Stegostoma tigrinum: one gene and its partners. The protein of the gene in region 1 purifies or fractionates together with the protein of each later gene. This does not show direct contact. Links are inferred from orthologs where the notes say so. Each region holds a gene or a part of one and is shown in the gene's direction. Other genes may lie near its edges.

Region 1 (6,841 bases):
AAAGATGGGCAATGCCCATATTCCATGGAAGATTTAAAATAAAATGTTAAATAAATGATAGTTTTATGCATTGTGTTCAAAGGTAAGAATATGGACATGAGTGTTAAGTGTAGACATAATGAGGATATATGTTCAGCTAAGACAGTCTCTTGTGTGACAGGTGCACATATTTTTCTAGCTCACAGCAGAGGGTTTCTTCCATTACCTTGTTACACCTGCAGCCCTTCATTCTCTGCAGGCTTTGTGAAGATGTCACTTTGCAAGACAAATTATTGAAACATCATGAAACAACAAAACTTAGAAACCTTTCATATTCTATATTGATGTCACCCACATTACCAAATGTTTTTGATGGTAGTGAGTACATGCACCTCAGATTAATTGCTGGTGTTTTGAGAGGTCTCATAAGCAATGGATGGGTTGGTTGAGACCACACTCAGCATCTTCTTCGCAGCTTTGGTCTTTTTACATAAAAAAAACTTCCCATACAGGGAGTGCAGCAAAGGTTCACCAGACTGATTCCTGGAATGGCATCTTTGTCTTTTGAGGACAGACTGAACTAACTAGACCTGTATCCACTGGAGCTTGGAAGAATGAGTGAGGATCACATTGAAATGTATAACATTCTGACAGGGCTGGACAGACTGGATGTAGAGATGAGGTTTCCCTGACTGGGGGTGAGAAAAAAGATTGGTGGGGGATGAGGGGAGGTTGGAGGGTCATGTCCAACCAAGGCATTCACAATTCCAGCATATAGGGCAAACCATATCGGACTGAGATGGTCAGAAATCTTTTCACTCAGAGGATAGCAAATGTACAGAATTCTCTATCATTTTCTGATGAAGGGTCTAGGTCCAAAACGTCAGCTTTTGTGCTCCTAAGATGCTGCTTGGCCTGTTGTGTTTATCCAGCTCAACACTCTGTTATCAAGCAATGTAAATGCCATTTCCTTTGGGTTTCTGCAATCCTCCTGCTGCAGTTTCAGTAGACCATGGGAAGGTAAACTAACCCCATAGTCAAAGGGAGATGCATTCTCTGATGCTGATATTCACACATTAGGTTCCAATCCCCCACACTCAGGTACACTGAAGTGCAGCTAAAACACTGACAAAATCCACTGGTATCAGGCATTATACCAACCTGTACTTAGCAACATATCAGACCCTATATGACCCGAACGCCCTTGCAAGGAAAGATCATAAATGCGACAAATTGTGCAAAGGATGAGATGAACACATAGAGGCTTCAGTTTTTAACAAAGTGTAGAGCTGGATGAACACAGCAGGCCGGGCAGCATCTTAGGAGCAGAAAATCTGACGTTTCAGGCCTAGAGCCTTCGTCAGAAATGGGGGAAGGGGAGAGGGTTCTGAAATACCCTGGATAGAGGAGAAGATAGGTGGAGAGGAGACAGACAAGTTAAAGAGGCGGGGATGGAGCCAGTAGAGGTGAGCGTAGGTAGGGAGGGGAGTGGTCAGTCCGTGGAGGATGGACAGGTCAAGGGGGCGTGATGAGGTTAGTAGGTAGGAAATGGGGGTGCGGCTTGAGGTGGGAGGAGGGGATAGGTGAGAGGAAGAACAGGTTAGGGAGGTGGGGACGGGCTGGGCTGGTTTTGGGATGCAGTGGGGGGAGAGGAGATTTTGAAGCTAGTGAAATCCACATTGATACCATTGGGCTGCAGGGTTCCCAAGCGGAATATGAGTTGCTGTTCCTGCAACCTTCGGGTGGCATTGTTGCGGTACTGCAGGAGGCCCAGGATAGACATGTCGTCTAAGGAATGGGAGGGGTAGGTGAAATGGTTCATGACTGGGAGGTGCAATTGTTTATCATGAACCGAGCATAGGTGTTCTGCAAAGCAGTCCCCAAGCCTCTGCTTGGTTTCCCTGATGTAGAGGAGGCCACAATGGGTACAGTATACCACATTGGCAGATGTGTGGGTGAACATCTGCTTGATGTGGAAAGTCTTCTTGGGGCCTGGGATGTGGGTGAGGGAAGAGGTGTGGGGGCAAGCGTAGCACTTCCTGCAGTTGCAGGGGAAAGTGCCGGATGTGGTGGGGGGGTTGGAGGGGAGTGTGGAGCGGTTAAGGGAGTCCCGGAGAGAGTGGTCCTTCTGGAAAGCAGACAAGGGTGGAGAGGGAAAAATGTCATTGGCAGTGGGGTCAGATTGTAGATGGCGGAAGTGTCGGAGGATGATGCGTTGGATCAGGAGGTTGGTGGGGTGGTACGTCAGGACGAGGGGGATTCTCTTTTGGTGGTTATCACGGGAACGGGGTGTGAGGGATGAGGTGCGGGAAATGCGGGAGACATGGTCGAGGGTGTTCTCGACCACTGCGTGGGGGGAAGTTGCAGTCCTTGAAAAACGAGGACATCTGAGATGTACGGCAGTGGAATGCCTCATCCTGGGAACAAATGTGGTGGAGACGAATGAATTGGGAATAGAGGATGGTATTTTTACAGGAAGGTGGTTGGGAGGAGGTGTATTCTAGGTAGCTGTGGGAGTCGGTGGGCTTGAAATGGATATCAGTTTCTAGGTGGTTGCCGGAGATGGAGACAGAGAGGTCCAGGAAGTTGAGGGAGATGTTACAGATAGTCCAGGTCAAGTTGAGGTTGGGTGGAAGGTGTTGATGAAGTGGATGAACTGTTCGAGCTCCTCGTGGGAGCATGAGGCAGTGCCGATACAGTCATTAATGTTACGGAGGAAGAGGTGGGGTCTAGGGCCAGCGTAGTTTTTTAATTACTTTTATAAATTGTCTCAGTTTCTTATGAAAGCCTGTAAAATCCTTCACAAAGGCAAAGATAACAAAATAAAGTCATGTGCAATATCTCTGCTGGTTTATTGTTATATTTAAGAGACCAGGCACACAACTAATAATCAGGTTTCCTTGTTTCACAATGGGAGCATATATCCAGTAACAATTATAAATGGCAATGATTTGAATAGATAAGGAGAAGATCATCACATTCCACTGCAGGAGAGAAACAAAATTAAAGCAAAGCTGTTATGTATCAGTTCTTTACATTCAGATTCTATGGTAATGTGATTATGATACAGAATTAAGAACCTTGTGTTACACATAATGCACAGCCAAAAATAAACTAAATACTCAGCAGTCATTTGTAAAGAGTTCAGGTTCATGACCCTTTATCAGAAGGAATACAGTAAAATAATTTATATCCCACCAGGGAGGGTCTAGGCCCGAAACGTCAGCTTTGCTGCTCCTAAGATGCTGCTTAGCCTGCTGTGTTCATCCAGCTCCACACCTTGTTATTTCGGATTCTCCAGCATCTGCAGTTCCTACTATCTCAGGGCTAAATTAATAACTTCCTGGTTCTTCCTTTCAAATTTAATGTTAAAAATCATAAGCCTTGCTAAAAATTCGAAAAAAAACGTTTTTACTGAGTACTGAATAAAGGATAGATATTTAGGAAAAAGAAAGGGGCCGTTTAAGATATTCTGTTTTCATGCAGGAAAGGAGGATGGCCTACCAGAAACTGTGGGTGAAGCAAAATCCATAACAGTTTAAAAAATGTGACTGATAACGATAAATATTTAAAATATGGTGGAAAAGAACACACGATAGAACTAAGTAAACATCAGCTTTACAGGAAACTATAGGCAAAAAGGCCTAGATGACCTCCTTGCGTAACATTCAAATCACAAATTCCTGACACCTCTACGTCTGCGCATGTGTCAATTTCCAGGCTGGGAGAAAGGGAACGCCGGCACATCACGTGACAGTACGCATGCACGCGATGACGTAACCGTCGGCCTGCGGCAGTCCGTTGAAGAACCGCCAATAGCGAGCGAGCGACGGGCAGGCGTCGTCCAATTGAAGCGCGGGCTCTGTTAAATGGGCTTAAAGTGCGGTGGATTTGAATTTAAACGGTAGAAGGAGCAGAGTGAAACGGGCGGTGAGATAGGCAGAGAGTGGGAGGTAGGTTGATTGTAAAGGAGGGGGTAGTCTGGGGGCCTGGGGAGAGGACTTTGGTTCGTCGCCTCTTCAGTGCTGGGGCTGGAAAAGGCCTCCCACCTCGCTATAGTCTGTGTTCTTAACCGTGATCTGGTTACCCTTTCCTGTGCCTTTGGGGCCCTGGTGTAGCCATCTTCAGTTTTGCTCCAATCTCCCTGAATCTGAGGGAGAGATATTCCCCATTGCCCTTGCCCCTTGCCCTTCAATCATGCCCTAACTTGTGTGTCAAGGTCAAGCTGGGGGATGAGAAAGTGGGGGCTCAGCCCTGTCTTCCCTGAATGTCGAGACGCCATATCACTCCTCCGCTGGGATTTTCCACGTAGCATTCGATTGTGGTGTATTTGTGTAATTTACTTAGCCTTTCAAATTCTTAATGGCTTAATATTAACTCGGCCAGTGATCAATACTGGCTACTCTGTTAGAAGTAGCAGCAGCACTTCGGAGATATTAATGGGTGCCGAGAAAATTTCACTTGCTTTGCTCTGAGCTGAAGTTTATATTGCTGGTACATCGTGGGACGCAATCTCTTTTTTTTCTTAGGCTGGATTAATTTAATTGCGTGGCAAATTCGTTTCTTTGAGTTTTAGCGTTCATCTAGTATTACTCATGGCTCTGCATGATAACTTCAATCAGTTACAAGTTTTGTCTCTTTTTACTCTTGTGTGGAGATTGGCGTGAGAAACGTATGGGATCAAAATCAGAAACTGCTTGGAAAAACTCTACAGGCCTGATAGCGTCTGTGGAGAAAAAGCAGAGTAACTCTTAGTATGCAGTGACTGCGCAGACTTTTGTCGTTAGTGGTGCTGATGCTGGCCTATCGCCAAAAAACATGTCTGCTACAGCACAGACCAGCTGGATTGGTGGGGTTAGGAGGATAATTTACAGCATGAAACGCGGCTGCTGTTGAGACTTTAACTTGTGTGAGGCGGTCCTGTTTTGTGGGATTTTCTTTTTCAGTAGTAGTTTTTTTTATTCAAGCCCTTGCAATAAAATGCAGCAGGAATCACTATACACTTCTGTTTTCTAATTTGTGCTATCTCTATCCACCAAGTACAAGTCTATGGATGTGACGAATGAGAAAACTTACAGGGAGGAAATGGCTTTGTTAACTGCTAATATGTGCATAAATAGATCTAAATTTTAATTCTGTTAAGCACACAGGGTTTTGTTTCAGGCTATTTCATTGGGACAGATACCCAGTGGGTTTTGACCTAGAAAATACTTCTCTAGGAAACTGTATGTGTTTGGTTGCTGCTACCCAGAGCTGCTTCTACTGGATTCAGGAAATCATATTTTGTGACTTGTGCTTTGATAGCTTAAGTTCTGCAGTGGAAATTCAAGCCTTCAGCTACCTGACCTCCAGAGAGAATATTACAAATAGCCTAATACAGTATAATAACTTTTTAATTTCCACTTGCAGGATTTTAGATTACAAATGGAAAAAAGGGTTGCAAGCCAAGGAGGACATGCTGGAAAGGTATTTTTGCTGCCAATTGAAATATTAATTAATGGTTATGATGGAAATAAACTGTTGAATAACTTAGTAGTCAGTCATTGATGTACAGCAGGGAAATAGATCTTTGGTCCAACTTATGCATGCCAAATAAACCTCGTCCCATTTTGCCAGCATGTGGCCCATGAACCTCAATCCTTCCTGTTCATAATTCATCCAGATATCTTTGTAAATGTTGCAATTATACCAGCCTCCTCCAGTTCCTCTGGCAGTTTGTTCCAGACATGACCACCTTCTGTGGAACAAGCTGTCTTTTTAAAATCTTTTCCCTTTTGCCTTAACCTATGTCCTCTAGTTTTGGTCTCCCTTACCCTGGGACCTTGACTATTCACCCTATCCATACCCCTTGTGACCTTTGAAACCGCTATTACGTTAGCCATTGGCCTCTGACACACCAGGGGAAAACAGCCCCAACCTGTAACTCAAACCCTCCAACCCTGGCAACATCCTTTAGTCTGTTCTGAAGCTTTTCAAGTTCATCAACATTTCCTATAATCAAGGAGGTCAGAGTTGAATATAGTATTTCAAAAGTAGCCACAACCTGTCCCAACTCCTATACTCAGTGATAATAAAATGTGAGGCTGGGTGAACACAGCAGGCCAAGCAGCATCTCAGGAGCACAAAAGCTGACGTTTCGGGCCTAGACCCTTCAGAGCTCTCTGATGAAGGGTCTAGGCCCGAAACGTCAGCTTTTGTGCTCCTGAGATGCTGCTTGGCCTGCTGTGTTCACCCAGCCTCACATTTTATTATCTTGGAATCTCCAGCATCTGCAGTTCCCATTATCTCCTATACTCAGTGTACTGACTTTTGAAGACAAGCATACAAATTTCATCTTTGCTAGCCTGTCTACCTGTGATTCCATCTTCAAGGAACCATAAATCTACTCTAAGGTTTTTTGACAACACTCCCTAGGATCTTGCCATTAACTGTGTAAGCCCTGTCCTGTTTAGCTCCAACAAAATGTCGGACCTTCTATTTATATAGATTAAACTCCATCTGCTGCTCCTTGGCCCATCCTTACAACGTTCTGTTGTATTCTGATGCAACCTTCACTGTCCACTTCACCACCAATTTTTGGTGTCACCTGCAAACTTACTTAGCATGCCTCCTATATTCACACCCAAGTCACTTGTATAAATGACAAAAAGCAGTGGATCCAGCACCTGATTGGATATTGTTCAGTAATACAAAACCTTAATGCTTCTGAAAAATTGCCTTCTCTAAGGCATTACATCTAAGAATGAGTGATAATGGGAACTGCAGATGCTGGAGAATCCAAGATAATAAAATGTGAGGCTGGATCAACACAGCAGGCCCAGCAGCATCTCAGGAGCACAAAAGCTGACGTTTCGGGCCTAGA
Region 2 (7,024 bases), about 16 Mb from region 1:
AGCATTCTGCAAGACTGGCACCTTAAACATTCACTCTTTACACCAGTGTGCACTCTTTCCACTGTTGCATTTAGTCTTCATCTACTCCACTAGGTACAAAAACAGACGTGCTGGAAAAGCTCAGCAGGTCTGGCAGCATCTGTGACGAAAAAAATTCACAGTTGACGTTTCGGGTCCAGTGACCCTTCCTCAGGACTCAGTGCTCTATTAGGTTATGTTCAAAGCGGTCAGTGCCTTTGAAGATGTTTCTTCAGTTTGAGAGTTTTGGGGCTAACAATTCCCATGTGTCAGTGGGGATGGTGCACTTTTTCAGTGAGGCCTTCAGGCTGTCCTTGTACTGTTTCCTCTATGCTCCTAGTGACTGCTTACCGTTGTGGAGCTCAGTGTACAGCACTCATTTAGGGGGACTTGGGTTGGATATGTGGACAATGTGGCCTGTTTGTCACAGATTGGGTAACCTGTGCCATCACACTGTGGATATTGGCCTAGGAGAGGATGCTCACTGCCCATCCTGCCAGTGGATTTGCAAGATTTTGCAAAGGCAGCATTGGTGATAATTCTCAGGCTCTTAGTTTCATCTTGTCCTTCAATCATCTTTACACTTCCTTCCTCTCACTCAAGTTTTGGTAGAGCTGCCAGTCCAGGAACCCTTATGTTTGCAATTTAGGAGATTCTGGATCTCTTGATCATTCATTAGTCTTAGTGTTTCCTGTTCAACAGGCCGAGTGGCCTCAAGCAGATGTGACCATGGTGGCTTTTAGGGTGGACCAGGCACTGTGGGCACCCTGTGAATCTGTTGATCACCTCCAGTTTGGATGTGAGGCGCTGCCTGGGTACATCTTTATTCTCAAGGTCTTTGAGACCAGCAATATTGAGTACTCTGTGGTAGAGATTTTTTTGTTGCCTTTGATGGTTTGGGGCCAGGTTGGTGGAGATGGTAAGGGGGTTAGTCAGTGGTTTGTCCAGCAGTCATTAGCTCTGGTCTTGGTGCAGGTGATGCAGACACCTTTGCAGCCTCTTGCTCAAATTATGATATGGTCTATCAAGTGTCAGTGTTTGGAGTGTGGGGTGGGTTGCCAAGAAATCTTGGAATCTTGAAGTCATTCCTCTGGTGGTACAGGGTATTTGTTATGACAATGTCACATTCCATGCATTTCATCAGGAATAGGACTCTGTTGGAGTTTATTTTCCTTATGTTTTCCTTATCAAACATGCCTCTCCAAAGGTTGGTATCACGCCTGATTCTGGCATTGAAGTTCCCACGGAGAATCAACCTGTCTTCCTTGGGGATGCAGGACAGCAATTGGTGAAGACTGGTGTGGAATGCCTCATTTGTCTCACATATGCAGTGAACTATAGCACTTTGCAAAACTGTTACCTCAGCTACCTACAGAAACAAGGAACATATAACCTGCTAGTTCTCCCCAAGCCACTCACCATTGTGGGGTGGAGTATATATATATATATTGCTGTTTCTTTCCTGTTATTAAAATTCTGGAACTCCTTTGTTAACAGTACGAAGGATATTTTAACACTATACACACTGCAGTGGTTTAAGAAGGAAGCTGACCAACACCTTTTCAATAATAGTTAAGTTAAATTTGCCTTACCTTGCTCCCACTCTTCTGCACCATCACCAGCAAAACTTCTCAATGGATATTTTGTACGTTATATTGGGTGCCCACTGTGCAATAATGACAGAGAGTTATACTGCCAGAGACGCCTTTGTTCCAATGAGATATCACGCTAAAGCCCCATGTACTTGTTGAGGTGCACGTGAATGATTCTACAGCAGTAATTTACAAATTGAGCATTACTTCCTTGCTAATTTTTCAAAATTTCTGTTTCTTTTTTTTTTCCTCATCGGATGTGGGCTTCGCTTGCTGGCCAGCATTTACTGCCCATACCTAGCTGCCCTTGAGAGGTGGTAGTAAGCTGCCTTCTTGAACCACTGCAGTACACGCGCTGTAGTTTAATTCACAATGCCCTTAGGGAGAGAATTCCAGGATTTTAATCCAGCCATAGTGGAACAGTGATATTCTTCCAATTCAGGACGGTGAGTGGTTTAGAGGGGAACTTGAAGCCATAGTTGCCATGTACCCGCTACCTCACTCCTCCTCGAAAATGATAATGAATTTGGGAGGTCCTGCCTAAGCCAGGTATAAGGTCAAAAGTTCAACAACAATAAAGTGGCTGAGGAAGAAGGGAAAATCTTGTTTCTAAGAAACAGAGTTTGTAACTTCACCTACCATGTTAGTAAGCAGTTAACCATATTTAATGGATAGAATATCTGGTCTTCCAAAACTGTCAAATTTCAAAATTAGGACAAAGGTGAAGTTTAGCTTGGTGGGAACGATAGATGGATGGAAGTGGCATTAAATGTTGGTCTCAATTTTAGTGATCTTGTAGCCAAGATGGGTGATAAATTTCTGGAACTCTGGTCAATTTCCATTCCTTCACAAACTCTGCTTTGCAAGGGCGATACCTCAGACTACCTTGTTATTTTTAAGAACTGTTCTGGATTTTTACATGATGTGCTCATTAAACTAGCTACAGAAAGTTAGAAGTGGTAATTGACAGTGGAGATACTATTTTCAACTGCTTCAATCAACATCTGGGCAGAAGGAGAACAATTTATATGGTACTATCACATTCTTGCAGGCTGTAAATTATTGTGATTTCTAAAATTTCAATTTTTAAAAATGTTTATGTTACTTTTCCTTTCTCTTTAAACAGGTGTTTTTTCACTCCCTTTTTTCTATACCTGATTTAACTTTATTCCAGCCATTTTAGTCACACTTCTTCCCTTCTATGCTCTTTCCTTCTGAATTCTTAAATCATTTTGGACTTTTGCCACAAACTCTGCATGCCAGTCAGTGACTTCATCCCTCTCTGGATATTATTTCAATCAAACATGCCTAACTTTGATTTCCTATTTGACCGAAATGAATTTCCAATCTCATATATATTCCATCACCAAAATCAGCTACTTTTACCTCCAATAACATAATTTGTCTCCACCCTTGTTTCAGGTTATCTGCTGCTGAGATATTCACCTGGTACCTCTAGGCTTGATTGCGTCAATGATTTGCTGGTTGGTTTTCCACTTTGCACTCTTTGTAAACCAATTCTCACAAATCAACATTGACTGAAAAGTCTGGCAATTCATCAATATCAAGGTGCTTATACTTCCTTGCAAATCTTTCCATGGCCTTGCCCAGACCTGTAACCTCCTCTAGCCTTACAACCCTTCAAGATCTCTGTACTCCAGCTAATCATCCTAATATGGCTCTCTTGCACACTTCTGATTATGTACGCCTAAGCTTTATTGTGAAATCTCTCACTAAATCTCTCTTCTCTACATTCCTAATCTTATTAAAACCCACCACTTTGTTTAAATTTTCAGTCACTTGATTAAAAATGCATTTTGCAGCTTGGAAGTCAAATTTTGCTTGGAAACGCTCCCCGCCAACATCTCAAGATAGCCCAATGTAGGTGTTAAATAGAAATGCCATCTCGTATTTTTGTTAAGCAGGCAGACCAAGTCCAATATTTCATGTTGCCCTCATTGCGCTGTTATTAGTGCGCACCTACAGCAAGTTACTGTATTCATATTTTTCAACATAGCTGAAAAAGTAAAATGCTGTACACCTGGCTACAACAAGGTATGAACCATTTTTAACCCTTATATTCTGGCCACAGATGCTGAATGGGTGTGCTGGATATCTTTTGTTTTCAAGCAATTTTTTGTTTTCAAGATTTACAATTTCTAGCTCTTTATTCATATGAGCCAAAATGAATTGGTTCATTAAGCTACCATGGAAGTATCCTAGGAGAGGGGGATTGATGGCAAAAGTGGTGAAGTTGGGACAAGGAGGAGCCAATGGAGGTATTAATACACCGGTATGCATTATGCGATATGTTATGCTCTCATCATTGATACCTCATACACACCTCCACCCAGTTTCACACATCATCACTCAACACTGTGCAGAGGCCACTTTACCCAAAAGCCTCTTGTAAATGCAACGTCGTCAAAGATGGCGGCCGCCTGTTCCTGAGGTGGTTGGTGTCGGACTGACTAGCGGGTTTCACTCGCTGTTCTTTTTCGCACCGAGGCTGAACGCGCCTTTCTTTTGAAGGGGACCTAGTGTCAACCGAAGCGGCGACCTTGGAGAGGTGAGTAGGCGGCTGCGAGCCTGTCCGTCCGTCGCCGGGATGAAAAAGCCGGTAAATGAGTCAGTCAACCTAAGGGTGATGGCGGCTGTGTCCCGCCCTCCTCCCCGGCAGCTGATTGGCCGGAGGGAGGTTAGCGGCCTCTGGGATTGGTCCAGACCTCTTGTCAGTCAGTGAGTCGTGATGAGTAAGTTAAGGTGTGTGTTTGCCGGCTGAGGCCTCGTTGTTGTTCCTGTCCCCGTCCCCTTGTCTGCAAATCATCCTGAAGGGGAGCTAGTGGTTGGACAGCTGCAGCGGTGTACAGCTATGTTGGCCATTCAGTGATTTCATTTCATTATAAACAGTGGACTCCAGTCGTTTGGTTTGTGCCTAACCAAACCTTCACCTCATAGAGACTGTTGCTTCCTCCCTCTCTCTTTCATGCACTCACTTCTATAAACCCAACGCTCATATTGTTCTGCCACGTTAGCGCCGGAGCAGAGACTATTTGAAAAAAGAGTAATATTAGTTGAATGCTGAAGAGTGCATTGCAGCTTCATGGACATTTATACATCTGTCTAGCCGGATCTTTAGATTACGATGATGTAGGAGATTCGTTCTGATGAAATGTCGATCCGTCATTTGTTTCTTTACAGATTGTGAATGGACTATGTATTTTCCCCGTTTTGTGTTGTAAAATTTAGAAATGATTCCCAGAGTGAACCCCTTACAATTAAACAGAAACTTTGTGATTTACTACCTATTATTAACATGCCAGTAGTGTACTAGTTCTTACACTGTGGTGTAATATAGGTTCATTTTAGTATTTGTACTTTCTAGGTATACGTCTAATTCAGTTTTCACTGGTATAGCTATCTTGGTGTTCCTCGTTCTGTCCAAGTTTTAACTTTTTGACCAGTCGTCTTTTGATACACACACATTTTCTTTTCATAAAAACCAAAAGAACTGTAGATGCTGTAAATCAGAGGCTGGTAGGTAGGAGATGGGGGTGGGGCTTGAGGTGGGAGGAAGTACAGGTTATGGAGGTGGGGATGAGCTGGCTTGGTTTTGGAATGCGGTTGCAGGAGTGGAGATTTTGGGCTGCAGGGTTCCCAAGCGAAAAATGAGGTGCTGCTCCTCCAACCTTTGGGTGGCATTGTTGTGGCACTGCAGGAGGCCCTGGATGGACGTGTCATCCAAGGAGTCAGAGGGAGAGTTGAAAGGCGCGTGACTGGGAGGTACAGTACTTCTCTACCTCCATCTTCTGTTTCTTACCCTCAAGCCAATTTTGTATCCAATTGGCTAGCTTCCCCCGGATTCCACATGATCTAACCTTGCTAACCAGCCTGCCATGTGGAACCTTGTCAAGGTCCATGTAAATGACATCTACTACTCTGTTTTTATCAATCTTCTTTGTCTTTCATCAAAAAATCACAATCACGTTAGTGAGACTTAATTTCCCCCACACAAAGCTATGTTTACTATCCCTAATCAGCCCTTGCCTTTGCAAATACATATAAATCCAGACCCCTAGAATCCCCTCCAACGACATACCCACCACTGATGTCATGCTCACCAGTCTATACTTCCCTGGCTTTTCCTTACCATCTTGCTTAAATAGTGGCACCACATTGGCCAATGTTCAGGCATCTCAGCCATGGCTGTTGATGATATAGATATCTCAGCAAGTGGACGAGCAATCTTTTCCCTAGCTCCCGCAGAGTTCTGGGATTCACTTGATTGGATCCCTGTGATTAATCCACCTTTGTGTTTTAAGACATCCATCACCACTACCTTTTATAATATGTGCAGTTCACAAGATATTCCTATTTATTTTCCCAAGGTCTCTGACTTCCATGTCCATCTCCACGGGACATCTCAAAACATCTATAAGAATAATAGGGTTGTAATGGTAGGAGATTCCAAGTTTCCAAACGTAAACTTGGACAGCCATAGTGTTAAGGTCTTCGATAGAAAGGACTTTAAATGTGTACTAGAAAAAAATACCTATTTAGTATGTGGATGTACCCTACTAGAGAAGGAACAAAATTTAACCTTCACTTGGGGAAACAAAGCAGGACAAGTGACTGGGGTATCAGTGGGGGAGCACTTTGGGCCAGTGATTAATGATTCTATTATTTTTAAAATAGTTATCAAAAAGGATAGATCTGATCTAAAAGTTAAAATTCCAAATTGGTGTAAGGCAAATTTTGATGGTATGAGGCAAGAACTTTCAAAAGTTGATTAGGAGAGACGATTCGCAGGTAAAAGACAGTTGGAAAGTGGAAGGTGTTGGTGAAGTGTTCGAGCTCCTCTGGGGAGCAAGAGGTGGCGCCGACCTTCCACCCCAACCTCAAGTTCACCTGGGCCATCTCCAATACATCCCTCACCTTCCTGGACACCTCAGTCTCCATCTCTGGTAACCAGCTAGAAACTGATGTCCATTTCAAACCCACTGACACCCACAGCTACCTAGAATACAGCTCCTCCCACCCACCCTCTTGCAAAAATTCCAAACCCTATTCCCAATTCCTCCACCTCCGCCGCATCTGCTCCCAGGATGAGGCATTCCACTCCCACACATCCCAGATGTCCACGTTCTTCAAGGACCGCAACTTCCCCCTGCAGTGGTCGAGAATGACTTGACCGTGTCTCCCGCATTTCCCCCAACACATTCCTCACACCCTGCCCCCGCCACAACCGCCCAAAGAGGATCCCCTTCGTTCTCACACACCACCCCACCAACCTCCAGATACAACGTATCATCCTCCGACACTTCCGCCATCTACAATCCGACCCCACCACCCAAGACATTTTTCCATCCCCACTCTTGTCTGCCTTCCGGAGAGACCACTCTCTCCGTGACTCC
Region 3 (7,427 bases), on another chromosome or scaffold:
CTACCATCTTGCTCTTTAGAGAAGTATAAAAAGCCTTTTCTTTAATCCCATTTGCTAAGATTGTTACCCCAGCTCCTTGTTCATGTTCTTTCCTGCTTTCTATATATTCCTCAAGGCCTCTGTCTGTCCTCATTTTCCTAAGCTTTACCTATGCTTCCTTTTTCTTTCTAAATTCACAATTTCTTGTCACCTAAGGTTGCCAAATCTTGCTATCCCTATCCTTCACTTTCACAGGAGCATGCTGGTCCTGAATCAATTAGTATTTAAAAGATTTCCTCAAATTGTTACGTCCTTTCTACATTCCTCAGTTCCTACCTAATATTGCTGTAGTTAGCTTTCCCCCAATTTAGTACTTCTATTAGGTCAGACTTCAGTCTTCTCTTTTCAAGTGAAAAGACACCAAGTCTTTCCTTGGACATTTACAGAAGAGAGGTTATTCAGCCCATTGTGTCCGCACCAGTCAAAGATTGGACAGCATGAATAACATTTTCCAGTTCTTGGCCCATAGTCATGGAGGATATGGCAATGTAAATCACAGGGGATCGCCAATTTATCAACATCCGATGCACAAATGTTCGTACTTACAAACGCAATCCCATACGAGGTGTATGAATATTAATTTTAAAGATCCAACATTTGGCCTTGTACATAAGAAAGGCTGTTTTATATTATCAAGCTTCACTTACTCACTTGTGTAAAAATTGACTAGTGAATGGATTCAAGAATGGAGCCCATTCACAATTTGGTGACTGCCTGTAATAGCTAAATACTGTTTAAATGTTACAAAAGTTTCTGACTTAGATAATGACTCCCAGACTCCCCCCACCCTCTTAGTGGAAAAAAAACTCAACTGTCCTGTTAGCTTTCTACCTCTTGCATTAAATCTACACCCATTGGTTAATGGCTCCTCAACTAAAGGAAAAAATGCATTCCTATCCACCCTATCTATGCCCTTCACAATCTTAAACATTTCCATCAGGTCGTCCCCTTCTCACCTTTTGCTGCCTCGAGGAAAACAATCCCAGCCTATGCAGTCTTTCTGTACAGCTCAGACCTCCAGCCCAAAAAGCATCCAGGTAAATTTCCACGCACCCTCTTCATACAGTTATATTCTTCCAATACTTTGGCAACTAGACCTGCCCTCAGTATTCTAATTGTGGCTTCAAAAGCATTTATCTAGTTCTAGCATAACTTCCTCGGTCTTTGAATAAAATCCTTGGCCTCTAATAAAAGCAAGTTATTTGATATGCCTTCTTAACTACCTTATTTACCCTACCTTGCCCTACAATGTTAAGGGATCTGAAGATATGCACCAAGGTTCCTCTGATCTTCACTACTTTTCGGAGTCCAACTATTTATAAAATCCCTTGCCTTGAAATCCCTCTCCAAGTGCATTAGCTTTACAAGGTTAAAATCCAACCTATATTGCCCCGCCAACTGATTGGTCCTTTGAAAACTCCATGCAGTTATGCCACTCTTTCCCACCATACCAACTTCGGCACTATGTATGAAATTCTTGATCATACCCCTACATTTAAGTCCAAATTATAACTTACATCACAAACAGCAACAGTTCCAACAATAAGCCATGCAGAACTCCTGTGTAAACAGGTTTTCTGCTATAATTTCCGTAAATATTTCTGCACATTCCCTAGTGTCTTTTTTAAGTGACATGGCAAGCAGTCCTGTACAGATTTACACATCGTCTTTCCACAACTTGTTATTCATGTATAGTTGTAACATCAAAAGAAAGGAACACAATCGCCTAGTGGTGCTATCACTCAACTGTTAATCCAGAGAGCCAGGTAATTTTCTAGGTATACCGGTTTGACTGCCACCATGGCAGTTATGGAGTAGAGCTGGATGAACACTGCAGGCCAACCAGCATCATAGGAACTTTCCTGCTCCTATGAGGCTGCTTGGCCTGCTGTGTTCATCCAGCTCTACATCTTGTTATTACAGATTCTCCAGCATCTGCAATTCCTACTACCTCATGGCAGTCATGGAATTTGAATCCAATAGAAGTCTGGAAATAGGAGTCTAATGATGATCATGAAGTGGCTCAATTGTTGAAAAAAAAATCTCATCTGGTTCACTGCCATCCTTAGCTGGTCTGGCCTACATGTGGTACAGACCTACTACAACAGGAATGGGAAATAAATGATGACCATGTGAATAAATAAAACAAAAGAAAAAATAGGGACATTATCTCTGTGTTAAGGTATCACTTTACAGTTACAATTCCTGTCAATATAGTGTCGGGTTAAATATACACATGCTTTGACAGCCTACCATGTTGCTATTTGGGGTGTTTCCCCTGGCTCCAAGACAGTCAGCAATTCCATAGCCTTTCGAAAAATCTGGAATAAAACTGTCAGACATTGAAGATTTAAACTTTTATGTTATGTTAATGTATAAAAATTACTTGCATTTATTTAATTATAGTAAATGAAATCAACCCATAGCACAGCATATTATAGTCTCAATGCGACCATAAGGTAATTTACAACTTTTACAACATCTGAAGTCATATGGCAGCAGGTTATAGTCCAACAAGTTCATTGAAAATCATAAACTTTTGGAGCATTGCTCCTTCGCCAGATGAAGATTTCATCAGCCTTCACCTGATGAAGGAGCAGCACTCTGAAGGCTTGTGATTTTAAACAAACCTGTTGGCCTATACCTGGTATCATGTGACTTCAGGTTTTGTCCACCTCCACATCTTTATAAAATCTGACATTGGCATTACGACTTAGATTGGTGCATGTAAATATCGTAAACTACCTGTCAATGGCTGTCTGCAATTCTGAATCTGTTTTCTCATTCAAGCTTTCCTACCAATTTTTGAGGTGGAGATGAAAAATCAAAAATGCTAAAAGTCTTAGTCTGATATCCCTAGACTATGCATATTAGCAGTTGAGTGATAACTACTGTATTCTTCACTTCAGTTCCACAAAACACCATTCAAACTGTTGTGTTGTAGTGGATCTCAAAATTAACAATTTATCTCATGACATTCTCTTGCATTCTCCCTGTAATCCTGCACATTCTTCCTTTAGACGCCTTTATTAAACCTGCCTTCAATGTACATTCCATATCCTGACCACTCAATGGGATCAAAAACATTTTCCCCCGCATATCACCATTGATTCTTTTGCCAATTTCTCAAAGGCTGTGTCCTTTTGTTCTTCAACCTTTCACATAAATGGCCACTGTTTTTCCCTTCTCCATTCTGACCTGATCCTTCATGACTTTTGAAAGCATCTAACAAAGCTCCTCTCTGCCTTCCAGAAAAAACATAATGACAGCACTAATCTTTCTAAGCAATTGAAGTTCCTCATCCTGGAGATTATTCTCGTGAATCTTTTCCAGATTCTGTACAGTGCAATGCATACAGCTGGATGAAATGTAATTGCCAGTGCATTTTTAAGCAAGTTTAACAAAATCTGCTTGGTTCTTCCTTCCTAACTATAAAGCCTAAGAAACTGTGCACTTTAACAGCCACTCTTTCAAACTGTCCTACCTTCACTGCTTTATGCACACTCACATCTCTCTGCGCTGTGCATCCTTTAGAACTGTAATTTTTATTTCGTATTGTCTGGTTTTCTGCCCTTTATCTACCAATTCTATCATCATGTCCATGTTCTCTTGAAGGTCGACACTGTCTTCCTCAGAGATCACAATCAATGCCTCCAGGTTCTTATCATGCGCACAGATTGTGATTATGCCCCGATTTGCTAAGTCAGTATCATAACTGAACAATCACTGCTACTTTTTTTTGTCTTTTCGTCATCAGTTTGCACGCAGTCACGATTGATTTAATCTCGTGGGCTTTTTAAAATAAAACAATGAGGAGCAAATTAAATATTGGACACGTGCCCCGTTTTACAATCTTTTACAGCAGCCTCTTCATGTTCTTCTGATTTAAATGGAACATTCTGAGAATATTTGAACAAACGCCGATCTTCTCCAAACAGGGAAGTTTGATGTGAAATTTAGTGTCACTCCAGCGATTTAAAGGCCAGCACTGAAAGATGCCACTTTCCAATTCCCCTTCCCTCCAAATTCCATTTACTGATTTTCAGCACTTCGATGACTAACCGTTAGAGCATCTGTTACTCGCTATAATTACAGCAATATAAGCCTATGCCTCAAATGCTTCATACCTGTCGTTCTTCCCAATTTTTTTCTCGGGTGTTGCTAAAGGGAATCTACAACCCTTGAACTTTCAACTTTACCACCGAGCCGGCCAATGGAGAGGGCGGTGCGTAAAAACTGTGGGATTAAACAAAGAGTTTCGGTGTGTCCTGGGGAATGGGGTCAATCTTCAAACAATACAAAGTGGTCATTAACGATCGAACGCGTTTCGGGGTAAGGTGAAGGTTTGAAGCCGGTTTCTTTAGCCAGCGGCCGGCGCTTTAGATACCGGAAGCGCGTCATTGGCCTGGGGCTTGCTCAGTCCGTGTCTCAAAATGGCGCCTCTGGACCTGGATAAGTATGTGGAGATAGCTCGGCAGTGCAAATATCTTCCAGAAAATGACCTAAAGGTAACGTGTTACAGTTTCCGCTCTCCCCCACCCCCGAACTTTATTTTGTATGTTTTTTTGTGTCTGTCTATTGCTAAATCTATTTGACGCCTCAGTGTCGATTATGTTTGTAGCGACGCAATGGGACCTGTCAAGACTACAGCTTTAGGCTGTACCCTTACGTTTTTGGGGCCTTACCTCTTGTGTCCTAAGTTCTGTGGCATTTGTTTATATTTGGGTTTTGACATAAATTTAATGTGTGGCAGGTAGACTTCCTTAGCGCTATTATCTGTGGATCTTTACATTGACAGCGTAATGTCGCCGCAATCAAAACATCACAAGTGTTAACCCCACCACTCCCGGAGAATGGACCTCTAATAGGTGAGAAGCCTCCCCTGAATGCTGAACTGGGACGCTTGAAGTGAAACGTAGTTTGCTTCAACGAAGGATTGGATCATTTCGTAAAACAATTCACAAATTTTGTTCATTTGAGGAACTTGACTTGTTGCTGACTAATCACGGTTAATTCTGATCCAAAAGTAAGTTTTTGTTTCAATTAGGTTGAGGTAGAAGATTTCACTCCAGATTAAAACTATAGCTTCTTTTTGGGTTCAATGTTGACTGTACCAGGAGTGGAAACTTTCGGAGTTGAGTTGTGGAGAGGTTTAGTTATTAATGCTAAACTGTTATGCAGATTGTTCAAATGCTAATGAGTATTGACTTAAATGGTTCAAGTGAGAGAGTAATTAGTTGTGATGCTAGAGAGGCTAAAGATTGATAAAGAAATGTTACTTTCAACGAGATGCATCTGAGAATACTGAGAGAAACAAGCATTCAAATTGTGAAGGTACTGGCTATAACCTTTTAATGTACAGAAATGCTACCGGAAGACTGGGTGATTGCAAATCACACATCTGCTTAAAACAGGATGGAGTTTTTGATGAGATAATAGAGGCATTTAGTAACAGTAATAGGCTCCTGTAGTGTATTTGGAGGTGTTGGGGGTGTTTAGATACTGTTGAATATGCCAGAGCAGGTTGCAGTAGTGATTAAGTCTTACAAGATCCTGCTCAGTATTAATATGTGGATGGAGAAGAAAAACAGAAGCTCTTTATTTAAGATAAAATATTGATTCAGCTTCTACTGCACACTTTTGTTCCCATTTGGTGTGGCACGGTGACCCGCTGCTGCCTCAGCGCCAGAGACCTAGTTAAGTTCCAGCCTTGGGCGACTGTCTAATGTGGAGTTTACACATGTCTGCTTGGGGTTTCCTCTGGATGCTCTGCTTTCCTTCTCAGTAGAAAAATGTGCAGTTTAGGTGGAATGGCTATGCTGGTTCATCTTCTTGTCTCAGTTTAGATAAATGCTGCCTGAACAGCCTGCATTAAGTCTATAACTCTAATAATCGCAAACTAGCATGTTGCCCTTTTTACCTGGACATCAGCTCAAGTAGGCCATTAAATATATTCCTCAGCCACAAATTGTAGATGATTAACATGCATGGACCGTTTTGGTGACATGTTTGAGAATGTGATTATAATGAATATTCCTTGATGTTAAATGTAGTATTGTTCAGTAGAAATTGCTGAATGAGCGGTAACGGCAATGTAATTTAATTGGGCCAATGATTTTTAGTCTGGTTAACATTCTTGTAATACAAATGCTGGATTCGGTGAGTGTCTTTACTCATCTTACTGAAGCGTAATTAGTTAAAATACTTAATGATCAAAGAAACACTCATACATTCAGTTTTTTTTTTAGTTTGCCATTTTCCCAGAAGATGCATCAAGTTTGAAATATATTATACTGTGCAAATACCATATGAAATTAAAGGCCAATTACACTTTGTTACTGTTCGTATTTATCATTCAGGAGTGATAAATTATTAGTTATGCCTTTAGTCAATTCTGGATTGCCACGTTCTTTTCCTCACTTTTTCTGCCTTCTATCTGTCACCTCTGATTATTCATGCTTCAGTCATTTATTCACTGTGTCCAAATATCTCATTCAAACCCCCAATTTCTCAAATCTATTTGCATAAATGTAATTCCTCATTTTAGAGCCGTTTAATACATTTTTCTTTCCCCAAAGTTTTCATGTTCTTTGTGAAATTAAACAGAGTACTCCCAGTCGAGATCAAGGTAGTGTTTTATGTAGGTTTAGCATAATTCCGTGAATTTTGTACTCTGTCTTTTACTTAAAGCCCAGGATTGCATCTCCTGCTTTGTTAACTTGCCCATTGGCCTCCAAATATCTATATACACATGTTCCTAGGTTTGTCTATTCTGGTAACACTTTATAAATTATACTATTAAGCTTTCGTTGTCTTTTGTTCGTTCTTCTAATACTGTTAGGTTCGTTTTTCGGAGACCCGCACAAACTTGATGCAATAGCAAGACACTGACCTGGCTACAAAAACACAATCCTTTATTATTAAACAAGAACAAGCTGTGGAGGATCGCTGTACTCAACCTGGCACAGAGTGCTGAGTTCCGTTAGCAATTCTCCCCGAACAGTGGACAGTCCCCGCTTTTTATACTCTATTTTGGCTGATACAAAAAACATTTACTACATTTGGAACATATAGCGAACAGAATACAGCATTGATTGTTCACGAAGTGACTGGTAACGATTTCAAGCCGCCAAAGTGTCTGGCTTGAACAGAGGTCACTGACCTGTCCACTTCAGTAGAAACAGAAGTTTCATACCTTTACAGAAGTTTCACCCTTTTACAGAATTACAAATCATACCTTTACAAACATTAGCCACCCAATCCTATTTTGGCTGGAAGTTTAGGACAGTTTCCACATACCCCTGTGTGAGAAGACAAGGAGCACAAAAATTAATGAGATGTTATCCCATTAACATCTCAATACTACCTCTCATTTCTCAGCATCTACT
Region 4 (7,790 bases), on another chromosome or scaffold:
GGTGCCGCTACCTGGAATACCAACCTACAGATTAGCCAAGGAACTACACCAAAGACTAAAACACCTAGTAGAAGACTCCCGCCACTCCATTCGCTCCACCCAAGAATTCCTGAACACCATCAAAGACACCAAGGTAGAAGAGGATGAAGTAATGGTCTCCTTTGATGTAACAGTCCTGTTCACATCCATCAACATCAACCAGGCCAAAATAACACTGACTACACTATTAGAAGAACCAAAGACACATACACCAGACACCACCAACCTCATCAGCAAGGACAACACCATCGAGCTAATGGACCACCCACTTCACTTTCAATAACAAAACCTACAGACAAACCAACGGTACACCCGTGGGATCTCCGATATCAGGGTTCTTAGCAGGGGCAGTAATGCAGAGACTCGAACAAACAGCTCTGCCAATCATCCAACCCAAACTTTGGGTCTGCTATGTGGATGACACCTTTGTCATCAATAAACAAAACAAATTAGAAGAAACATTCAAGACCATCAATAATACCCTTACTGGCATAACATTCACAAAAGAGGAGGAAAACAACAACAAACTGCCATTCCTAGATGTCACAGTAGAGCGAACAGCCAATGGGGAACTTCAAACCAGCGTCTACGGGAAAATAACACATACGGACCAAATACTGAACTACAGGAGCAACCATCCCAACACCCACAAACGAAGCTGCATTAGAACATTATTCCAACGAGCCACCACACACTGCAGCACAGAGGAACTACGAAGAGCAGAAGAAAATCACCTATACAGCGTATTCAAAAAGAATGGGAGCACAAAAGCTGACGTTTTGGGCCTAGACCCTTCTTCAGAGAGGGGGATGGTAAGAGTGAACTAGAATAAATAGGGAGAGAGGGGGAGGCGGATCAAAGATGGAGAGAAAAGAAGATAGGTAGAGAGGAGAGTGTAGGTGAGGAGGTAGGGAGGGGATAGGTCAGTCCAGGGAAGACGGACAGGTCGAAGAGGCGGGATGAGGTGGTAGGTAGGAAATGGAGGTGCGGCTTGAGGTGGGAGGAAGGGATGGGTGAGAGGAAGAACAGGTTAGTGAAGCGGAGACAGGCTGGGCTGGTTTTGGGATGCAGTGGGGAATGGGAAGAACTCCCCCCACTGCATCACAAAGCCAGCCCAGCTCGTCCCCTCCCCCCGCCCCCCACTGCATCCCAAAACCAGCCCAGCCTGTCTCCACTTCCCTAACCTGTTCTTCCTCTCACCCATCCCTTCCTCCCACCTCAAGCCGCACTTCCATTTCCTACCTACCACCTCATCCCGCCTCCTCGACCTGTCCATCTTCCCTGGACTGACCTATCCCCTCCCTACCTCCTCACCTATACTCTCCTATCTACCTGTCTTCTTTTCTCTCCATCTTCGGTCCACCTCCCCCTCTCTCCCCATCCCCCTCTCTGAAGAACGGTCTAGGCCCGAAACATTAGCTTTTGTGCTCCTGAGATGATGCTTGGCCTGCTGTGTTCATCCAGCTCCACACACAGTTCAACTCTTGCCCCATTTGAAATCAGCTCACTGTCAATTGATTTTTCTTACTCTGAATTGTTGCATGCCATTCTCCAACACTATCTTTCAACTGTATGGTACAAAAGACACTGTCTACTAACTGTTTCCCCCCCCACTGATATTTGATCCATCTGCCAGAGACAGATCATTTATTTTTTTCTATAGTTTTGAATTAACTGTTTCTTTCAATTACTGATCTTGAGAGCTTGATAGCCTCTCCCTTGATTATTCACACAACTGTGCTTAAATTTTCTTAGCTTTGACCAAGGCCTTCAGGTTTATTACCAAAATATTTCTGTTCTGGAATTCTTACATTGATGTAAGCTATTTCCTAACTGTTCTGGACTAACTCCTTGTTCCAGGAGAAATTGTTACATCTAAACCCAGCAAGGTCACATTTGAATGGAAATCAAAGGCTTTCCAATCTGTCGGTATTTCCTAAGAGAAAAACTATCGAATCTTCAAAATCAAAAACAAGGGAATATCTTTTAATATTTGCTCTTTAATTGTCTTGCTGTCAAAATACAAATAAGTCCATGTTATTGCTCTAAGAGAATGTTTCACATCTGCTCTGGCACATACCGGTTTTAAATCATCACTCCAGAATCATCCACTAGTTAATTACCCCATTTATCACAGAGGTGAACAATCCATATGCAGCTGGTTAAAGTCCAAACTCTCAAATAAACTGTACAAATATATAAGTATGCCCAATCTATTTTTATATGCAAACAGTGATATAGTACACAATTACATGTTTGTATGCAGAGCCATCACAACTTTTACAGATGAAAGCGAAATGAAAAGACAAATCATATTACAAAATTAAACTAATGTCTAAGATTCCTAACAGATACAGTGGTACTGTACTATGTATTCTAATTTAGCACAGTGCTCCAGAATGGTGAAACAGATTTCCTTCAAATTTCCTTATTCAAAGTTCAGCCCTGCTTGACTGAGATTTTTTTGAAGAGGTGACCAAGAAGATAGATGAAAACAGCGCAGTAGATGTTGTCTGCATGGATTTTAGCAAGACCTTCTACGAGGTTCTGCGAGATAGACTGGTGAGTGAGGTGAATTCACATGGGATTCCAGAGACACCTAGCCAATTGGATACAAAAATAGCTTGATGGTAGAAGACAGAGTGGTGGTAGGGCTTGTTCAGATAGAAGACCAATAGTGTACGGCAATGATTAGCGCTGAGTCCATTGCTGTTCGTCATTGCTATCAAATGATTTGGATGAGAATATAAGAGGCATGGTTTATAAGTTTGTGGATGACACCAAAATTGGTGGTTTAGTGAACAGTAAAGGTGATTATCGAAGAGTATGATGGGATTTTGATCCAGTGGGCCAAGGAATAGTAGATGGAGTTGAAAGCAAGCAAATTCAAGGTATTGCATTTTGGAAAGACAAACCAGGTCAGGACTTACACTGTTAATGTTAGGGCCCTGGAGGGCACTGCCAAGTGGAGAAACATAGGGGTGCAGGTACGTAGTTCCTTGAAAGTGGTGTCACAGGTAGTCAGGGTGGCAAAGAAAGCATTTGGGACAGTTGCCTTCATTGGTCAGAGCTTTGAGTACAGGAGTTGAGATGTCATGTTCCAGCTGTATACAACATTAGTAAGGCCCCATTTGGAGTACTGTGTATAATTTTGGTAACCCTACTATAGGAAGGATACAAAGAAAGATTTAGAAGGATATTCCTAACATTGGAAGGTTTGAGTTATAAGTAGAGGCTGGGACTTTTACTTAAGCATAGGAAGCTGAGCGGTGACCTTACAGAGATTTATAAAATCACGAGGGTCGTAGATGAGTTGAATTGCCAAGTTCTTTTCCCCAGGATAGGGGAGTTGAGAACTAAGGTGCATAGGTTTAATGTGAGAGGGGAAAGATTTAAAAGAATCATGAGGTGCAACTTTTACAGGTAGAGTGTGGTATATACATGGAACAAGCTGCCAGAGGAAGTGGTAGAGGTAAATATAATTACAACATTAAAAAGATATTTGGCGGATAGGAAAGGCTTAGAGGGATATGGGCCAAATTATGGCAAACGTTCAGTTTAGGAAACCTGGTCGGCATAGGCGAGTTGGGCCGAAGGGTCTGTTTCCGTGCTGTATGACTCTATATAAAAATAATAGAGTGGAAGCTTCAAAGATACAAGTATTGATCAACGTTCTCCTGTTAGCTCGCTGGGCATCTTGACAGTGTTGCGCGCCAGGGGCAGGTTAGTAGAGAGCTTTCTATTCCAGATGGTTAGATAAAGGCTATTGACGATATTTCGCAGCTTGTCGCCTGTCGCGCGCACAGTCTCAAGTGTCGACTGCCTGCCGCCGCTGAGTGATTGAGGTCGGGGCTGTGTTGGTTCTGGGACTGGAGGCGAGGCAGGCTGGACAGTTTCCAAACACAAACACGGAGAATGCTAGAGAAACGCAGCAGGTCTGGCAACATCTGTGGAGGCGGAAACACATCTAACGTTTCGAGACCGGTACTTTGAGTAAGAAACGTCAACTCAAAACATCATCTAAAAGCGAAAAACTACGATGCTACAAACCTGAAACACACAGGGGCAATGTCGGAGAAACTCAGGAGGTCTGAAAAATAGGCATAACCGGGTGGCTGGAAACTTTAACTGTTTCTCGCTCCACATTTGGTGCCAACTCTGCTGAGTTTCTCCAGCATATCCGGTGCTTGTTAACAAAGTGTGAAGCTGGTTGAACACAGCAGGCCAAGCAGCATCTCAGGAGCACAAAAGCTGACGTTTCGGGCCTAGACCCATTTTGTGCTCCTGAGATGCTGCTTGGCCTGCTGTGTTCATCCAGCTCTACACTTTGTTATCTTGGATTCTCCAGCATCTGCAGTTCCCATTATCTCATATCCTGTGTTTGTTTCGGATTTCCAGCGTCCGCGGTATTTTGCTTTTTAACATTCCACCGGGGCACGGCTGACACAAAGCTGGGTGTCACGGGGATTGTTTGTTTGTTGTTGCTGCTGCTGCTGCTGCAAACAGGAATGGTAGGGAGGCGACATCCAAGATGACAGCTTGTGAATACGGTCTATCTGTCCGCAAGCAGTTTGTTGACACCGCCAGCCGCAGCGATTTCCGGCCTACCCGACCATAACCAGCAACCCGATTGGATGTCAACTTCGCCCGGTTCCCGCAGACCAATCGGAATTCTTGGTGCATCAGGGTGGGCCGAAAGAAGTGGGTGGGGGTGCGAGGGAAAAAAGGGAGGCGAATGCGCGCGCAGCCTGCGGCCCATCCAGGTGGAGAGGCGAAGGCGTGGAAGGAAAAACACATTTAAAAAAAAACCATTTATAAAGAGGCCGGGGGTGGTGTATCGAACAAGAAAAGGCTGTGAAATGGGAAGGGAGGGAGGAATTAAATAAGAAAGCAAGTTACCTGAAGGGAGAAAAGGCGGGGTGCCGGCCAGAAACCGGGCAAGTAGCAGCGACAGCAGGGGAGGGGGAGGGGAACTGAAAACCGTCGCCATCCTCCCGAACTCTACCTCCTAACCTCTCCCTCCCCTCAACAACAAACACACTCAATGCATCGTTACAGCCGGGGGTAAGCTTCACTTCACGCTTACGTGTGTGTGTGTATACATATTATGTATATATTTATACTTTTAAAAATGCGTGCATAAATATCTAATCAGTGTAAATAACTGGTACTTGCTAATCCGTCGTACGGCTCTGCCTCCCTCCTCCTTCTCCTCCTCCGGCCGCGTGGCTGCGCGAGCGCCGCCAACGGACTCCCTTTACTAGAACGTTCCGCCAGCTTCTCACGCGCGCTGTGGCCGTTAACGGACGCCGTCTCTCACCTCCTGTTTGAATTTTTATTTCTTTTGTACCAACGGTGGTAAAGAGTTGGATTTTTAAAAATGTACTTTTTTTTTCTTAAATAACTCTTAACCCGGCCCACTGCCACCCAAGCCGGGGATCTTTACCCGACCCATGGATGCGACCTTAGCGATCAGAGGCCCAACAGATTTTATTGTTCGCATCCTCCCACCGTCCCCCCTTTTAAAAAAAATGAGAGAGACACGGTGGGGGTGGGGGGAACGGGACGGTGATTTGGATATTAAAGGTCTGGGCCGCTTAGCCTCGGAGTGGGAGTAGGTGGCTAAGGTGCGAGGCCTACTGTTCGGGCTTCTTTTCCCAGCCTCTCGGGTCTAATTGCGATTGGTAGGTGTTGCCTCTACATAGACACATCAGTTTCTCCCCCCGCAACCCCAACCCAGGGGGTGCCGCAATTCTTGGGGATCGTGTCTTAGTGCTCATTATTGGAGGCCGTGTTAAAGGACTTGTGATCCCGCTGGCTCTATCCGTTGTCGGCGGAGGAGAACGGGGAACGGGGCAGCCGCTGCTGTCTCGGAGTTAGAGGCAATAGAAACGCTCCCAGGAAACCAGTCTGCTTTGCACCTCCTGGTTCTTCTCAACCAGATCTTTAATATCTTTGGTTAGAGACCAAAAAAAAGTGCAGATGCTGGAATCTAAAGTAGTCAAGCAGGAGGTTGGAAGAACGCCGGAAGCCAGGCAGCATCTGCAGGAAAAGAGCAGTCATCATTTCGAGTATTCTAGCTGAAAGTTAACTGCTCCTTTCCTCCAAATGCTGCCTGACTTGTTGTGTTCTTCCAGCCTTTATCTTTAATACCTTTCACCTGCTGGGGGTTTTCTTAGTTCACATCCATTTTTTTTGCCTACTGTGCACTGGTACTCATGTTATGCCCTAGTTTCATTGATTTTTGTCCAGTTTAACAGCCTTTGAGGGTTTGACTTATTGGTTAACATTGTTAGTTTCTTCTGAGCAAAAACAGCTTGCATTTATATAACACCTTATATTTAAACATCCTAAAGAGCTTTCTTTATTTAAAAAATTATGTTAAAGGAAGTTGAGCAGAATCATGGAATGTATTAGAACAGATGACTAAAAATTCATTCAAATAAGTAGATTTTAAGGTGTTTATTCTAGGACATAGAAATTTAGCTTTCAGGAATTAGACAGTCGTAGGTATAGATGGCTAACCATGGTTGGGCAAAGGAAATCAGTAGTATGCGAAAGTTCAGAAAATTCCCCATTACATTTTTGGCTGTGGTCAAATCTTCTATACGTAGGTTTAAGTCGAACTAGCCTCACCTCATCTGATGTCCACATGTTGATGCCAAGTAGAGCTGTTAGTAAAAATTAAGTTGTCTTTTTTTAATTCATTAACGGGATGAGGGCATTGCTGGCTAGGCAGCATTAATTGCCCAGAGGGCAGTTAAGAGTCAACCACATTGCTGTGGGCCTGGAGTCACATGTCGGACAGACCAGACAAGGATGGCAGTTTCATTCCCTAGAGGACAGTTGTGAACCAGATGGGTTTTTCCCAATAATTGACAATGGATTCATGGTCATTGTTAGACCCCTAATTCCAGATATTTATCAAATACTAATTCCACCGTCTGCCATAGCGGGATTTGAACCCAGGTCCCCAGGAATACAACGTGGGAAAGTGAGAGATGATGCACTTTGGTAAGAAGAACAGAAGCATGGACTATTTTCTAAATGGGGAGAAAATTCAGAAGTCTGAAGTGCGAAGAGGCTTGGGAGTTGTAGTCCAGGATTCTCTCACCTTAAACTTAAAGGTTGAGTCAGTAGTTAGGAAAGCAAATGCGACTTCTGCGTTTATTTTGAGGAGACTCGAGTATAAAAGCAAGGTTGTACACCTGAGGCTCTGGTCAGGCTGCTTTTCGAGTATTGTGTGGAGTTTTGGGCCCCATATCTCAAGAAGGATGCGCTGGCCCTGGAGCAGGTTCAGAAGAAGTTCAGGAGAATGATTCCAGCAATGAAAGCCCTGATATGAGGAACATTTGAGGACGCTGGATCTATACGTGATGGAGTTTAGAAGAGTGAGGGAATTGAAACTTACAGAATGATGAATGGCCTGGACGGAGTGGATATTGGGAAGAAGCCTCTGGGGGTCCTCTCGGGTCCTGTTGGTAGGAGAGACAGGACCTGAGAGCACAGCCTTAGAGTAAAGGGAAGATCTTTTAGATCGGAGACAAGGAGAAACATCTTCAGCCAGAGATAGATAATCTGTGGAGTTCATTGCCACGGTGATCAAAGGTTATGGGGAGAAAGCGAGAGAATGGGGTTGAGAAACTAAGAGCCATGATTGATTGGCAGAGCAGACTCAGTGGACTGAATAACCTAATTTCTGCTCCTGTGTCTTATTTTATTAAATTTTTATGTTTGGTCGCATCTATGGA

What was found.
Region 2: the proteins of aurora kinase C-like (region 1) and arfgap1 purify together in Homo sapiens (affinity purification with mass spectrometry; 3 studies listed by BioGRID and IntAct, counting the BioPlex papers as one, with this or other methods). This does not show direct contact. The link is inferred for Stegostoma tigrinum from reciprocal best matches to the Homo sapiens genes AURKA and ARFGAP1.
Region 3: the proteins of aurora kinase C-like (region 1) and ppp6c purify together in Homo sapiens (affinity purification with mass spectrometry; 4 studies listed by BioGRID and IntAct, with this or other methods). This does not show direct contact. The link is inferred for Stegostoma tigrinum from reciprocal best matches to the Homo sapiens genes AURKA and PPP6C.
Region 4: the proteins of aurora kinase C-like (region 1) and dicer1 purify together in Homo sapiens (affinity purification with mass spectrometry; 4 studies listed by BioGRID and IntAct, counting the BioPlex papers as one, with this or other methods). This does not show direct contact. The link is inferred for Stegostoma tigrinum from reciprocal best matches to the Homo sapiens genes AURKA and DICER1.

The regions. Positions count from the first base shown.
Region 1 is NC_081372.1:47,185,457-47,192,297, reverse strand, and holds the start of aurora kinase C-like, read left to right. Parts: upstream 1-3,819; 5' UTR 3,820-3,932; intron 3,933-5,388; 5' UTR 5,389-5,403; coding exon 5,404-5,445; intron 5,446-6,841. UniProt on the Homo sapiens protein: Mitotic serine/threonine kinase that contributes to the regulation of cell cycle progression.
Region 2 is NC_081372.1:31,570,546-31,577,569, forward strand, and holds the start of arfgap1 (ADP-ribosylation factor GTPase-activating protein 1), read left to right. Parts: upstream 1-4,008; 5' UTR 4,009-4,179; intron 4,180-7,024. UniProt on the Homo sapiens protein: GTPase-activating protein (GAP) for the ADP ribosylation factor 1 (ARF1). Involved in membrane trafficking and /or vesicle transport.
Region 3 is NC_081382.1:26,604,264-26,611,690, reverse strand, and holds the start of ppp6c (serine/threonine-protein phosphatase 6 catalytic subunit), read left to right. Parts: upstream 1-4,411; 5' UTR 4,412-4,472; coding exon 4,473-4,547; intron 4,548-7,427. Other genes in the region: rabepk (rab9 effector protein with kelch motifs), read right to left, coding at 2,293-2,345.
Region 4 is NC_081363.1:6,496,113-6,503,902, forward strand, and holds the start of dicer1 (endoribonuclease Dicer), read left to right. Parts: upstream 1-4,774; 5' UTR 4,775-5,103; intron 5,104-7,790. UniProt on the Homo sapiens protein: Double-stranded RNA (dsRNA) endoribonuclease playing a central role in short dsRNA-mediated post-transcriptional gene silencing.